Drosophila melanogaster: one gene and its partners. The protein of the gene in region 2 interacts with the protein of the main gene of each other region in a pairwise test. Each region holds a gene or a part of one and is shown on either strand. Other genes may lie near its edges.

Region 1 (5,066 bases), on a different chromosome or scaffold from region 2:
GGTTGTTTAGGAAATAAGGTGGCAACGGAATGGTTGGATGCAGGAAGGGGGAAAGGGGGAATGGTGGCGAATGGTTGGTTGTCATAGTGCCAACCAACATTCCACATTCGGCTAAGGCTAAGGTCATGGGAAGTGCGCCACTTGCCATCCGACCCATTGTCGATGACTGGAGTTGCCCACTCCACGCAGTCTCGATGCCCCTGCCCTGACCACTTTTTCCGTGTTTTTTTGCTTGTCATTTCATTTCGGTATCGAGCAGCCAGTTAACATTAACGAAATGTGCACACGAAGAAATATTATTGACCAAGATCGAAAATTAATAATTCATCATAAGTTTTTAGCCATTTCTTATACCAACTTTCGTTTTAAAATGTGTGTTTTCAAATGATATTTATTTGAAAGTAAATACAAATGTAATTATTTATTATTTATAATTTTTTAATCAACTGACTTTGTTGTGAGATTTTCTTTCACTGTGCAATAACAGCGAATGTTGCCATTGGTTTTTCTCTCACTCAGTCAGTCAGTTTGTTTTGCTGCGCGTCCCTGAAATTGAAAATGCGTAAAATTGTCGAAGTTGGCGGTCAACTTCCACACATAAGTATTCACCTTGAGTGGAGCTTAAATGTATATAAAAATAAATCTACGCAAAGAAATTCATTTCTTTCCATTGTTAGGGAACCATAGTCGCAGACATTGGTAAATCAGTCCCATAAATAATACAAGTCAAGCGTCATAAATGTTATTTTAGTTAGGCTCATACGGGTGATTTTTTGCTGACTAAGCACCACTTAAATAAACATAGACATGGTTTGTTTTTACCGGGAAAAAGGGGCAAACCAACAAGTTGAAAAGGGTGAAAGGATTACAAGGAAATGGGATGAAGGACAAATACTAAACTGTTTAAGGCCGTTTGATATATGAGATGATGGTTAAGCGAGGAAGAGTTTTAAAACGAGCTAAAACTTTAATCGCAATTTAATGAGCAAACCAGGATAAATTTTAAGAAATTAATTGCTCTTCTTGTATTAAAGTATCCAAAGTATTCAAAGTATCATCCATCGCACAGCATTAATATCAAATATGGCAGTCTTTTATCTGCTTATTTCCATTTCAATATAAATTCGGTTTCCTCATAAATATCAATGGAATTTATGAGGACGAACGGAGGACCCACAAATTGAAAAAGTCTCTTTAGTCTCAGACATTCCTTGCCACACATTTGCCACTTGTCGTAGGCTGAGATGCAAAATATCAATAACTCAGAGAGCCCCCCATAACATGTTATAACCCATCCCCTAACCCTCTATATCCCAACCCAGCCCTTAACTTGATTCCAGCTTTCTGGTCTTTATGATCCCCATCCTCATAAAATTCCCATGCACTTGTCGTACCCACTCATTGTGCCAGTTGTTCGGAACGATGAATTACATTCGATACCCTAGATGTAGAGGGCTCTATTGGTTTTGTGAACGAAATGGCTTCTTGCAAGACTTCACGAACGATTTTCTATAAATATATCTCATAATATCTCTGTGTATCTCATAACTTTTTATAGATTTAGAAGTGATTCCAAATAATCATTTCACTTGATGACATAGGGTACCTGATAGCTCGATCTACCGTATAATAATTTTTCGATTATATTATTCTGTGGCTATGGCGTTTGTCATCGTTTGCTACTGTCTCCGCTCGAGTCTGCGGTCTTCTGGCAATAAAACGCTTTTGTTTGTGGCTTTATGCCCCGCGCCACAAAGTAAGGTGCAGGGGCAGATATTGGGCGCTATTAACTAGTCAGCTTGTGGGTATGGTAGATGTGGCAGTTAGCGGGGCAAGGTGCTAAGGCCCCTGATTATGTTTTGTTGATATAATAAATCTTGTTGCGCCGTAAACACCTTTTCCTGACCCAAACGCCCAAATGAGATTTCAGATAACGCATGGTGGACGTGGTCGAATAGAACAGAATTTGCATTTCACTTTTGCACAGACAAGCTGGCGACCTTGCCGCCAAATTTAAAACATATCAAACAAGCAAATCAAAAACAGACATGCCAAGATGGAGAGGCGCACCGCAATTTGTTTTATTTCTGAAACCATTTCAAAGTCAAACAGTTTTGCACAAGACTCTTTTTTTTGGCGGAAGTAGCAGCAATCAAAGCCAATTAAAATGATTTACAAATCAAGAGAATCGAGAAATATACATGTTCAGAAAGCCATCAGGTGAAAAGTTATCGCTAATTTCGAGTCTCAAGTCAAGGTCGACTGGAGCAGCAAAAATAATCGAGCATAGGCGGAATCAAAGGGGCTTTCAAATAAACAGGCATTCTCATCGTTTAGCACATAAATTCAGTTGGCTTTAGTTTCATATAACAATTTGAGCAAAAATATTGTTAGAAAAAACGCCCCCAATAACGCCCTTTTCGGCGCCTCTGAGGCAGACATAAATGTTTACAAATCGAACAAGAACTAGAAACAAGCAGAAATATTTTACTTTTGATTTAATTTATTGTGTATTTTTGAAATGCTCTGTATGGAACATTTTTGAAACAAAGTTCTCATCGTTTTGATTGCCATAAATTTGGTATTTTTATTTAGTTGTAACAATAATTAAGTATACGCACCGTTGGGCGAAACAAGTTTATGTTTTCCGCAAAACTGTATTGTTTTGCTAGATTTTCATTTTGTATTCGAATTACAATAGTTTCACGAGTCGCGCTGCTTTAAATTTAATATTTTTTGATTTATTTTTTTGGCGAGTTGTTGACACTTCAGCTTCCTGTTTGCTATTAAGCCGCTGGCTCGCAGCAATTATGCTTTTATATATCCAACTAGTACCGCCGCCGATGCCATCGAAGTGGCTTTATTGCGACGCAGTGCCGACCGATGCGTTGCCATTGTGAGGCAATAATATAAAACACCACCCACTTTTCCGCCGCCTTGCCACCTTTGCAGCGGTGTCGTCAAAGTGCTGACGATATGTGGACAAATGTAAAATGCAAAAGAGTTCGCAAAGGAGGTCCACTACATCCAATATCCACGTCCACCCACCGACACGCGACTCCAAACCGGTATCCCCAATATGCGGCACAATTCTCGACCGAAGTTTTTCCTCTGCGACCGCGACGCGTCGCATCTGCTGCGCTGCCGTTGCTTGAATGAAATCAACGAAAGCGCGCCAAACACAAAAGTGTTGCCAGCAACATGCTGTGTTGCCAGACACAAATGTTGCCAGCAGCCATGTTGCTAACAAATATAAATTACAAGTAAATGTAAAAACTTAATGGTAATGGATGATTTTAATAATTAAGTAAGAAATGAGCATTTAAAAGTTTTTTCAATTTTCATTGCTCTTTCTTTTTGCAGCATTCACCATCTACTTCGACCGGAAGTTTCAAAGAGCCAATTTGAATCCGGATGTGTCGAAGACGCAATTATTTGCAAACCGGATGATAAAAATAAATCGAAGCACAGCCAATTCATTTTAACTGCGTTTTTTTTTTTTGGCAAAAATGTATTTTTATCTTACGCATCAATAAATGTTTACTTACATGTAGCTTTGATTTTATTTCATAGAACTGTGATATCCTTTAAAAATCCTCGGATACTCTCCAGTGCATTTTGATTTTCTACTTCTGGCAACGCCAAAAAAAGCATTCAAAATGCATTGAATTTAAGCATGGCTAAAGCTTAATAAAGATAGCAAACATTTTTTATATAAAGTTTCTCGGAAAATATAGATATATGATGATCAAATATGCTTATCAAAAATGTTACAGGGTTATTTAGAATTCATGCAACTATTTCAGTATCAGTCTTTTCAAAAAGTTCATCCCAAGTGGTTGTACACCATGCTCAAACCGATAAGAATCTTGTTGTGCGCATTTATGGTCCTGGAACTTCTAGGATTTCCGACTGGAGCCCAGAGTAATGCATCATGTCCATTATCCGATCCTCCGAGTCAGTGCAGCGCCTTCTGTGTATCCGCACTACAGCCAGTTATCGATCACCTTAGAAAGGATCTAAAGGATTGGGGCAGCTGCGATGTGAAACTAAACGAAACGCAGGAAAAACTACAGCGCATTGAGTTGGCGGCGAATGAGATACTTTCCGGAACCCAGTTCATTTTCCATTTGTCAAATATGACGCACACTGTTTCAGAGGATCTCGCGGAAAGACTGGACAGGATTGAAGGCAATCAGGCAGTCCTAGGAAGTCAGCTGCAAGCGATAATGAACAGTACGGAAGTCAAACTAACAGCAATGCGGAACATCTTATCCAAACTAGAGCGCAGATCCATGCTGCAAAGCTATCGAGGAAACGAAGGACAACGGAAACGATCTAGCTATCTACCATAAAATGGATGATTAATTGCAACCTTTTAAACTATTCAAATATAAAATAATACAACAATTAAATGAACTATGTTATCAGGCAGAATACTATAATTACATAGTATATATATGCACTCTATGTAAACAATTCAGATTAAAAATGATTTGCATACGTAAACTTGTCCCAAAATTTCTCTCAACCTTGGCAACAATGTTGCCAACGAATGATGTAGGCCTATTCCTGTAGCCACACTCCCGCTACAAACATTCTCCCTCCACAGGAGGCAATTGAATTTCGGTTTCTGGCCAGCTGACCTTCACTTAACATTATAAGCGAGAAACCAAACAAACAGAAAACAAACATTTTCCATGTAATTGGCAATAGACCATGCCCTAATGCTAGGCCAAACACAACGCCCACACACACGCGCGGTGCGGAAAATGTTTACACGCCTCGCCAAGTGGAGAAACCTCCAACCATACAAGTAGATAGAGTCCTAAACCCCCCTTCTATCGGTGTGCATATGCAGGGTGTGAGATGTGGCAACCTGTTGACATCGAAACGCCTTGTGGCACGTCCACTAATTGCTTCTGACAGAGGCAACAGGTTGAATTTAGCCAGTCGAGCTGAGCATTAATTTTGACCAACGTAAACGCCATACGCTCGACTGCCCTGGGCTCCAAGGCCCACGCCCTTTGACCCAAACCACCCTGATTTTCGGCTGATTTATGTGT
Region 2 (2,907 bases):
ACTGCGTGAAATTTATTACCTAACTGATGATGCGTCGTGCAACTGGCGCAAGTTGCTTGTCCTGGGCGACTGCCTGGACCAACAGCTCAAGCGCAAGCTGCTCTGGATGTGGCCGACATCGGTGGACTTGGACTACTTTAATCAGCTGCTAGCCATGCACGACATCCAGCGAGTTTTGAGCATCGGCTGCGGCAGTGGGCTTTTGGAATGGCTTATGACAGTGTCTGGAGGTCGGAAAGTCCCCATGTTTGGCTTGGAGGTCGATCGCAACTGGTGGCAGAGCAAGTACTCCGTTCGAAGTTTTATACCGCTTAACTATTTAGAGGATGCCAGCCAACTGGATACGGATTTATTGACCAAATGCTGCAGTGACGTTCATCCGTGTGCCTTGCTCTTCTGCTACTTCAACAATCGAGGAGCTTTTCTGGACTATCTAAATGTGTATCAAGGAAAGTGGCTTATATTGATTGGACCATTGCCCGCCCTGGGAATCCACACAGATCCCAATCCCGCCCAGCCCCAACTGCCCATCGACCAGTGGATCCTGCGAGAACGCCTTAACTGGACTGACCACAACATTGTGGCATTCTACGAAAAGATAGCCTAGTCTAGTCTGTAGTATCTCTATAATTGTAGTAATAAACCATTGCCTTACATCCTAATTAGTTCCTGTTCACTTCTATGTGAAACTTGCAGGCGGGTATGCTTTGCACTTCGGCCGTCACGGTGCTGTTAATGCCTAGATTGCTGAGAGCTCCTCGCACCAGCCCGCACGTGAAGGCCACGAACTTGGGCGCGTGCTCCAGCTGCTTGGTGCCCGGCGAGATGCGAGTCAGAAAGCGGAAAGCCTTGTCCTGCACAACGTACATTCCGTGGTTGTTCGTCCTCAGGTTGTCCACTTGCTTCTTGTATATAAGCATCCAGAAGTCGGTGCATATAAACTTCATAGTCTCCAACTCGTCCTTAAAACGCGAAACTTCACGGGTGAGCCGCTCAATCAGGCGGTAGCCGGTGGTGAAGCCTATATACTCCAAAGTGGCCAGGTCGTGCTCCTAATAGGCGGAACCAAATCAAAATCGGTTGTATGACTGATTTTTTTTTGCGTCCCTCGTGTTCCTACCTTATTGCTATCCAGACAATAATTGACTATCTCTGCATGGAGGCAATCGAAAAGGATTTCTTCAGACATTTTCGAGGATTTAATTTTTCTTTGTGAGTTCAACAAATTTTTCCTCGGATTTGTTTTGATCTAGATTTAAACAGCTGTTGCAAGCGTTAACGGGCGAATGTCTTGTTTGCTTTTAGTGGTTTATTGTTATTACTATTATTTATACTTTAATATCAAGAGTATGTATAATTATTTTAATATGAATACTCTAAAATGAGCAGATTTGATAGATCTATTTAGCGTAATTTCAAATCATTTTATAACCATATATTTTTCGATGCATATATTTAGCTAAGCTGCACACATTTCTATCGCTGATCTGGCATCACTATTCAGTGAGGGGGTGTTTGGACAAAAACACAACAAAAAATGTATACAAAACAATTCCGATTAAAATTCGCAGAATAAGTGAATTAAACTTGAACAATTGACAATTAGTAAATAATCCAGTATGCTAGACCTCGTTCACAAAGCCACGCTGCATAGCATGGTCTGTCAGGCAATCCTAGTGTTAATCTGTTTGCTATGCTACGGATGCGGTGGCCTCAGTGGAGCGAAGTTTGTCTTCGATGATACGGTGGCCATCGTCAAGAACCGGGATGTCAACTCACTGCCCACCAACTGGACGGCGATCTTCACGCACGACTTCTGGGGTGCTTCCTTGCTCAGTTCCGATTCCCACAAATCATTTCGGCCACTGACCACCCTGATGTTCCATTGCGAGTATGCCCTTCTGGGGCTAAGTGCCGCCCACATGAAGTTCCTAAACCTCCTGCTACACTGCGTCAACACGCTGCTCATGTGGCGATTGATTCGCTCTCTCTATGTTCCGGAGGTCAGCACGGCAAGATGGGCCATCCTCTCCGCTGCTCTATTTGCCGCCCATCCAATTCACACAGAGGCGGTTTCTGGTGTGGTTGGAAGGGCCGAGCTCATGTTCGGCATGATTCACTTGTTGTGTCTTCTGCTGACCGTGGCCAATACCGGAAGACTTGGTCCACAGACTGGCGGTCTAATCATGCTGCTCACCGCTGTGGGAATGCTGTTCAAGGAGTCCGCTGTGACCATCCCCATGTCGTGTGTACTATTGGATTACTTTCAAAACGGCTACTATCATCTGCGATTCAAGGATCAGTGGAGTCTTTTGCGCACCCGGATCAGCTACTTGTTCTACTTGCTGGGTACCTTGGGTCTGCTGACGGCTCGCCTTTGGTGGCAGGACTTTGAGACGCCTACCTTCAAGGAAGTTGACAACCCCGTTGCGCACAATGAGCACGTGCTGACCCGTGGGCTCTCCCAGCAGTATCTGCTGGTCATGAACATCTGGCTGATGCTGTGCCCCCACTGGCTATGCTACGACTGGGCATTGGGTTGCGTCAAGTTGGTGACCAACATCTGGGATCTGAGACTGCAGGGCGTCATCGGATTCTACTCCATCGTATTGGTGGCTCTGATGAACTTCCGACGGCTGCCCGGAATGATGTTAGCTCTGGGTTTAATGATCGTCCCGTTCCTGCCCGCGTCGGGAATCATTTGCGTAGGATTCGTGATTGCCGAACGGACGCTCTATGTACCCTCCATTGGCTTTTGCCTGCTGTCCATCTATGGATTCTTATATTGGTATGACAGCAGTACGGAAAACACCCACTGGCGCACTGCTCTACGGATTCTTTTAATGCTGCTCTTTTCGGTTATGATGGTACGGACTCGGCAGCGAGCTACTGACTGGCTTAACGAGG
Region 3 (4,020 bases), on a different chromosome or scaffold from region 2:
CCGTTGCAGCCGAAAGAGGGTCCTCTTGTACCAACTCAGAGTGATATCGCGTCCAATGAAACAGCCACATGAGCTGCAGTAGTGATTGACATCATGACGGCCCTTCCAGCGAATGGGATTACTAGAGGATAAAGGACAGATTAGGTATTGGGGCTCGGATCAAACTGTCACAACCAATAAAGAAATTCATCTTCTTTTCAAAACTTAACGCACCAGCAGAGAAGCACATTCAGCGAGCAGGCAATCTTCTGCAGAACGGTCACTGCCTCCGATTTCACGTGGGTAGTCTGCAACTGCTGGCAGGCTGGACACTCCAACTCCTGGGGCTCAGTGGTCAGATGGCCCACTTGCGGAATGGATGAGATGTCCCCCTCGAAGGCACTGCCATCCAGACTCTCGGTGCTGGCCATTTCGAAGCGATAGAGCAACTGACCGATGAACCAAGAACGTTCGCATAATGTATCTGTATCTGCATTGGAGCCCACATCGCAATCAAAATATCTAAGAGCGTGCCAGAGAGTGGGAGAGATGAATACATACTTTTTGGAGGCACCGCCTGAGTGATGATCGAATAAATTCAAGTAACTTATTAAAAAAAATTTGACAACAGCTGCCGGTTTATTTATAGATCATTTGCGTGGATTTCAGAGAGCCATCTGAGTGGCAGACGCACTAAGTGGGACGCCAGTGGAAGCCCAGGTGACCACCGCATCGGCTGCAGAAGACACGCTTCGATTTCAGGCGACTTTGCAGACAGGAATAGACGAACGTCAAAGCAAAGATGGGAAAGCAACTGAAAGGAGATTTAAACGAATGTTAATCCATGGACTTAGATTCCTTTCCGAATTCCGAAGTTTCCTACCAGGATAAAGTGGACAAGAGGCAACTGAGCTGGCCCAGTGCTCCTGTCATCTCCACGGTTTCCGTTTTCGAATTCTGCTGGCACAATGGACACCGCACCTGGTAGCTGCTGGGTCCGATGCTGAAGAATCGCACCTGGGGTTTGCTAGGGCGCTCCTCCAGCGTGACAGTGGTGGCCGCCGACTGGCTATCCCTGTCCCCCTCCTGGAGATCCACCTCCAGATCCGCATCCAAGTCGTTTCCCCGAGACATTGCGACTGGCCGGCGTCAAGTGCTAAACATTTTGGCGAATCCCGAGGCAGTGAAATTCGAAAAAGAGATCTATCTGACCAAAGAGATCTAATTGAAGAGAAACCACTGAGAGAATCATGCAGCAATCAACAATTTTTTGGCACTCGGCTCTTCAGTCTCAGCAGCGCTCATCACTCGCCGCAAGGTCAACAAAAAGTGCTTAAAAACTAAACAAAACAAACAATTATAAGCGGAGCACCCACTCCGTTTGCCCCAACCCACGACCCCCATCCCTTCATCTCACTGTCTTTTCCATGCCCCCAAGAGGTAACCACACTTGCCGCAGATGACCTTGCAATCGTTGGTGGAGCGCCTCGGGCAGCAGGGATAGATGGGCAGCAGGGCAAAGCAGCTGGAAATGGATAAGGAAATAATCTGAATTAGAAATATAAATACTTCCGATCTTTGTTATTATCCTAATAGCCCTATACTACGATTAAATAATCTTATTTATATTCCATCCTAAGAATTTACTTTAAAGAAATGTCCTGGCCTTGCACTCACCACATGGTAAGGAGTCGCTCCAGGCGGACTCCCTGCTCGTGCAATCGCTCGTGGCACTCCGGACAGTACATCTGGCGGAGGCAACTAATGTTGGTGGCAGCGGGCGGCGGAGGTGATACCTTCTCGGCCAGTTGGCCTGTGGAGTTGCTCTTCCGGCAGAAGTAGGTATCCGGCTCGGAGTCCTCGGCATAGCCGTAGGGATAGCCTCTGTGTGGGGGCGTGGCCAGGAGCAGCTGGTCCAAGGCCTGAGCCGACTTCTGCTTGACCTGGCCGCAGTTGGGGTTCAGGTTAATCTCCACCAGATCCGCTGCGAACTCCTCGTCGTCGGGAGCTTGAAGGTGGAACTTTAGCTGACGGCTCATGTTGTTGAACTGACTCGACTCGGGTTTTCTATTTGCCTATAAATTGGGTTATTTTACAATTGAAACATAAGAAACATAAGTCAAACAGCTATCGCTTGGCGAGGGGGATTTATTATTATATTTTTTGGGCTGAGGGGGGAGTTAGACAAACCAGTTGTTCATCTGTTTGTCAAGCCCCCGTATTTGCCTAACACTATTTTCATGGTTGCGATGTTAACGGCTGCACTTGAACGTAGATCCCATGAGGAAAGCTTCCACAAAGCTGCCGGCGAGTGGGTGGTAAATGGAGCTTTTTCTATAAAAAATATACACAGTTATCTTAACCCATTGAAGATCGAAGTCTGTTTTTATTTTGACTTGAATAATTAAGACATTTCATAAGGTTTTTCAGGAAATAGTATCAAGCACGGAAAATATATATATTATTTTTAATCACAAATTAAGCAAGTTACACATTAATATCCAATATCCAATAAATAATTAAAAAAAATAAAGGCTTCACAAATGGAATGATGATGCTTCAACTGGCAAAGAATCATATCTACATATGTACATATATATAAACCGGTCACGCATTTGGTAAATTACAAAAATATTATATTATGGCGAGAGCACTCGAGTCGACAACCTGTGTTTGTTTATACTCTCTCCTCGCAAAATACACGTACTAAATGTTACATATGTATATTTTGGCCTTATTCATTGCCTTTATATGCAATAAAGGTGTTATCAAACAAGTGACTCATCTGTCGCCTATTCGGAGGAGAAGCATCGCTGTAGCTCACTAAATCAAGTGCACAATAAAAGAGGTATCCGATTATTAGTTCGACAGAAACCCCACTTGTATGGTAGCTATCACCTCTCGACGATAAGATAGTAGCCAATCGTTGAGGTATTGCGGGAGCCACAGTTTAAGTTCGTTCCTCAGTGCAACGCCAGCCAGCAAAGCGATCGGTTCAGTTCGGCCGGAAATCCAGAGTCTGCATCAAGAAGAAACATAATCCGAAACTATGGACAGCAAGCAGCCTCCACCGTACAGTGAACAGTCCGGATACACTCCCGCACAAACCTATCAGCCCGGTGGCCCCACCCAGCCACCACTGTACCCACCGATGCCGCAGCCACCGCAGTCCTCAACGGTGATCATCCAGACCACCACAACCTCCAACCTGGTGCCCATCGGCAGTGGACCCACCCGCATCCGCTGTCCCTCCTGTCACGCCGAAGTACTGACCACCGTGAAGTCCACTCCTTCCGGCAGGACGCACTGCTGGGCCCTCATCCTGTGCCTGTTCATGTGAGTCTTATAGTCACTAGTCATCTGATCTGAAGTCACTGCTTGCCACCATATGTATGTATGTATGTTGATTGGTCTCAGGAGCTTTGGGCCAACGAAAGTATCTTAGGGGGGACTTAGTGCTTCATTAATCCAGTCAAATGACCTTTTTATAAAATTGCGCAAAATGGAGTAAACCATTTTTAAAAGCAATACAAATCGGATATGTTGCCTATTAAATTCAGTAATATACATAGATGATATGATATCCTATAGATGATATCCTAACAATCTAGATATGTTTTCGTATCGCCCAAGCAGAAATGTTCTATAACCATTTTATTGCCAACTCGTTACAATAGCTCGGTTAAATGTTAAAAAGCTACGCCCATGAACCACTTGCGGCCCCTTATCGCTTGGAAAAAACAATAGGTTTCTACAGGTATTGCGACTGTGTGTACTGGTAATATGTGAAAACATTGTTATCTCAACTGGAACTGGAGTTGAGTCAGATAACGAATCCGAGTGGAAAGACGGGGTGAAAGCAAGCAAACTGACTGATTACGGCCTGTAGACGTCGTAAAGGCCAATTCGGAATTAGTGCTCTGACTAATAGTTTAATTCCCCGAACTTATCTAATCGATTCGTTTTCCACTCTATCCACACAGCTGCTGGCCGTGCGTATGCCTACCTTACTGCATGGACTCCTGCCAGAATGCCAACCAC

What was found.
Region 1: the proteins of Trs33 (region 2) and CG5160 interact in a two-hybrid assay, tested with the Drosophila melanogaster proteins (2 studies listed by BioGRID).
Region 3: the proteins of Trs33 (region 2) and CG43325 interact in a two-hybrid assay, tested with the Drosophila melanogaster proteins (2 studies listed by BioGRID).

What each region holds. Positions count from the first base shown.
Region 1 is NT_033779.5:7,395,617-7,400,682, forward strand, and holds the start of CG5160 (uncharacterized protein), read right to left. Parts: upstream 3,135-5,066; 5' UTR 2,622-3,134; intron 1-2,621.
Region 2 is NT_033777.3:15,349,732-15,352,638, forward strand, and holds Trs33 (TRAPP subunit 33), read right to left. Parts: upstream 1,265-2,907; 5' UTR 1,190-1,264; coding exon 1,121-1,189; intron 1,053-1,120; coding exon 663-1,052; 3' UTR 614-662; downstream 1-613. Other genes in the region: CG42727 (uncharacterized protein), read left to right, coding at 1-607; Tmtc4 (transmembrane O-mannosyltransferase targeting cadherins 4), read left to right, coding at 1,620-2,907.
Region 3 is NT_033778.4:22,654,961-22,658,980, forward strand, and holds CG43325 (uncharacterized protein), read right to left. Parts: upstream 2,039-4,020; 5' UTR 2,019-2,038; coding exon 1,657-2,018; intron 1,537-1,656; exon of another isoform or gene 1,505-1,536; coding exon 1,393-1,504; 3' UTR 1,114-1,392; coding exon of another isoform or gene 863-1,113; exon of another isoform or gene 794-862; coding exon of another isoform or gene 673-793; 3' UTR 589-672; downstream 1-588. Other genes in the region: CG30196 (uncharacterized protein), read right to left, coding at 1-121, 214-410; CG43326 (uncharacterized protein), read right to left, coding at 673-793, 863-1,113; CG13510 (uncharacterized protein), read left to right, coding at 3,029-3,315, 3,963-4,020.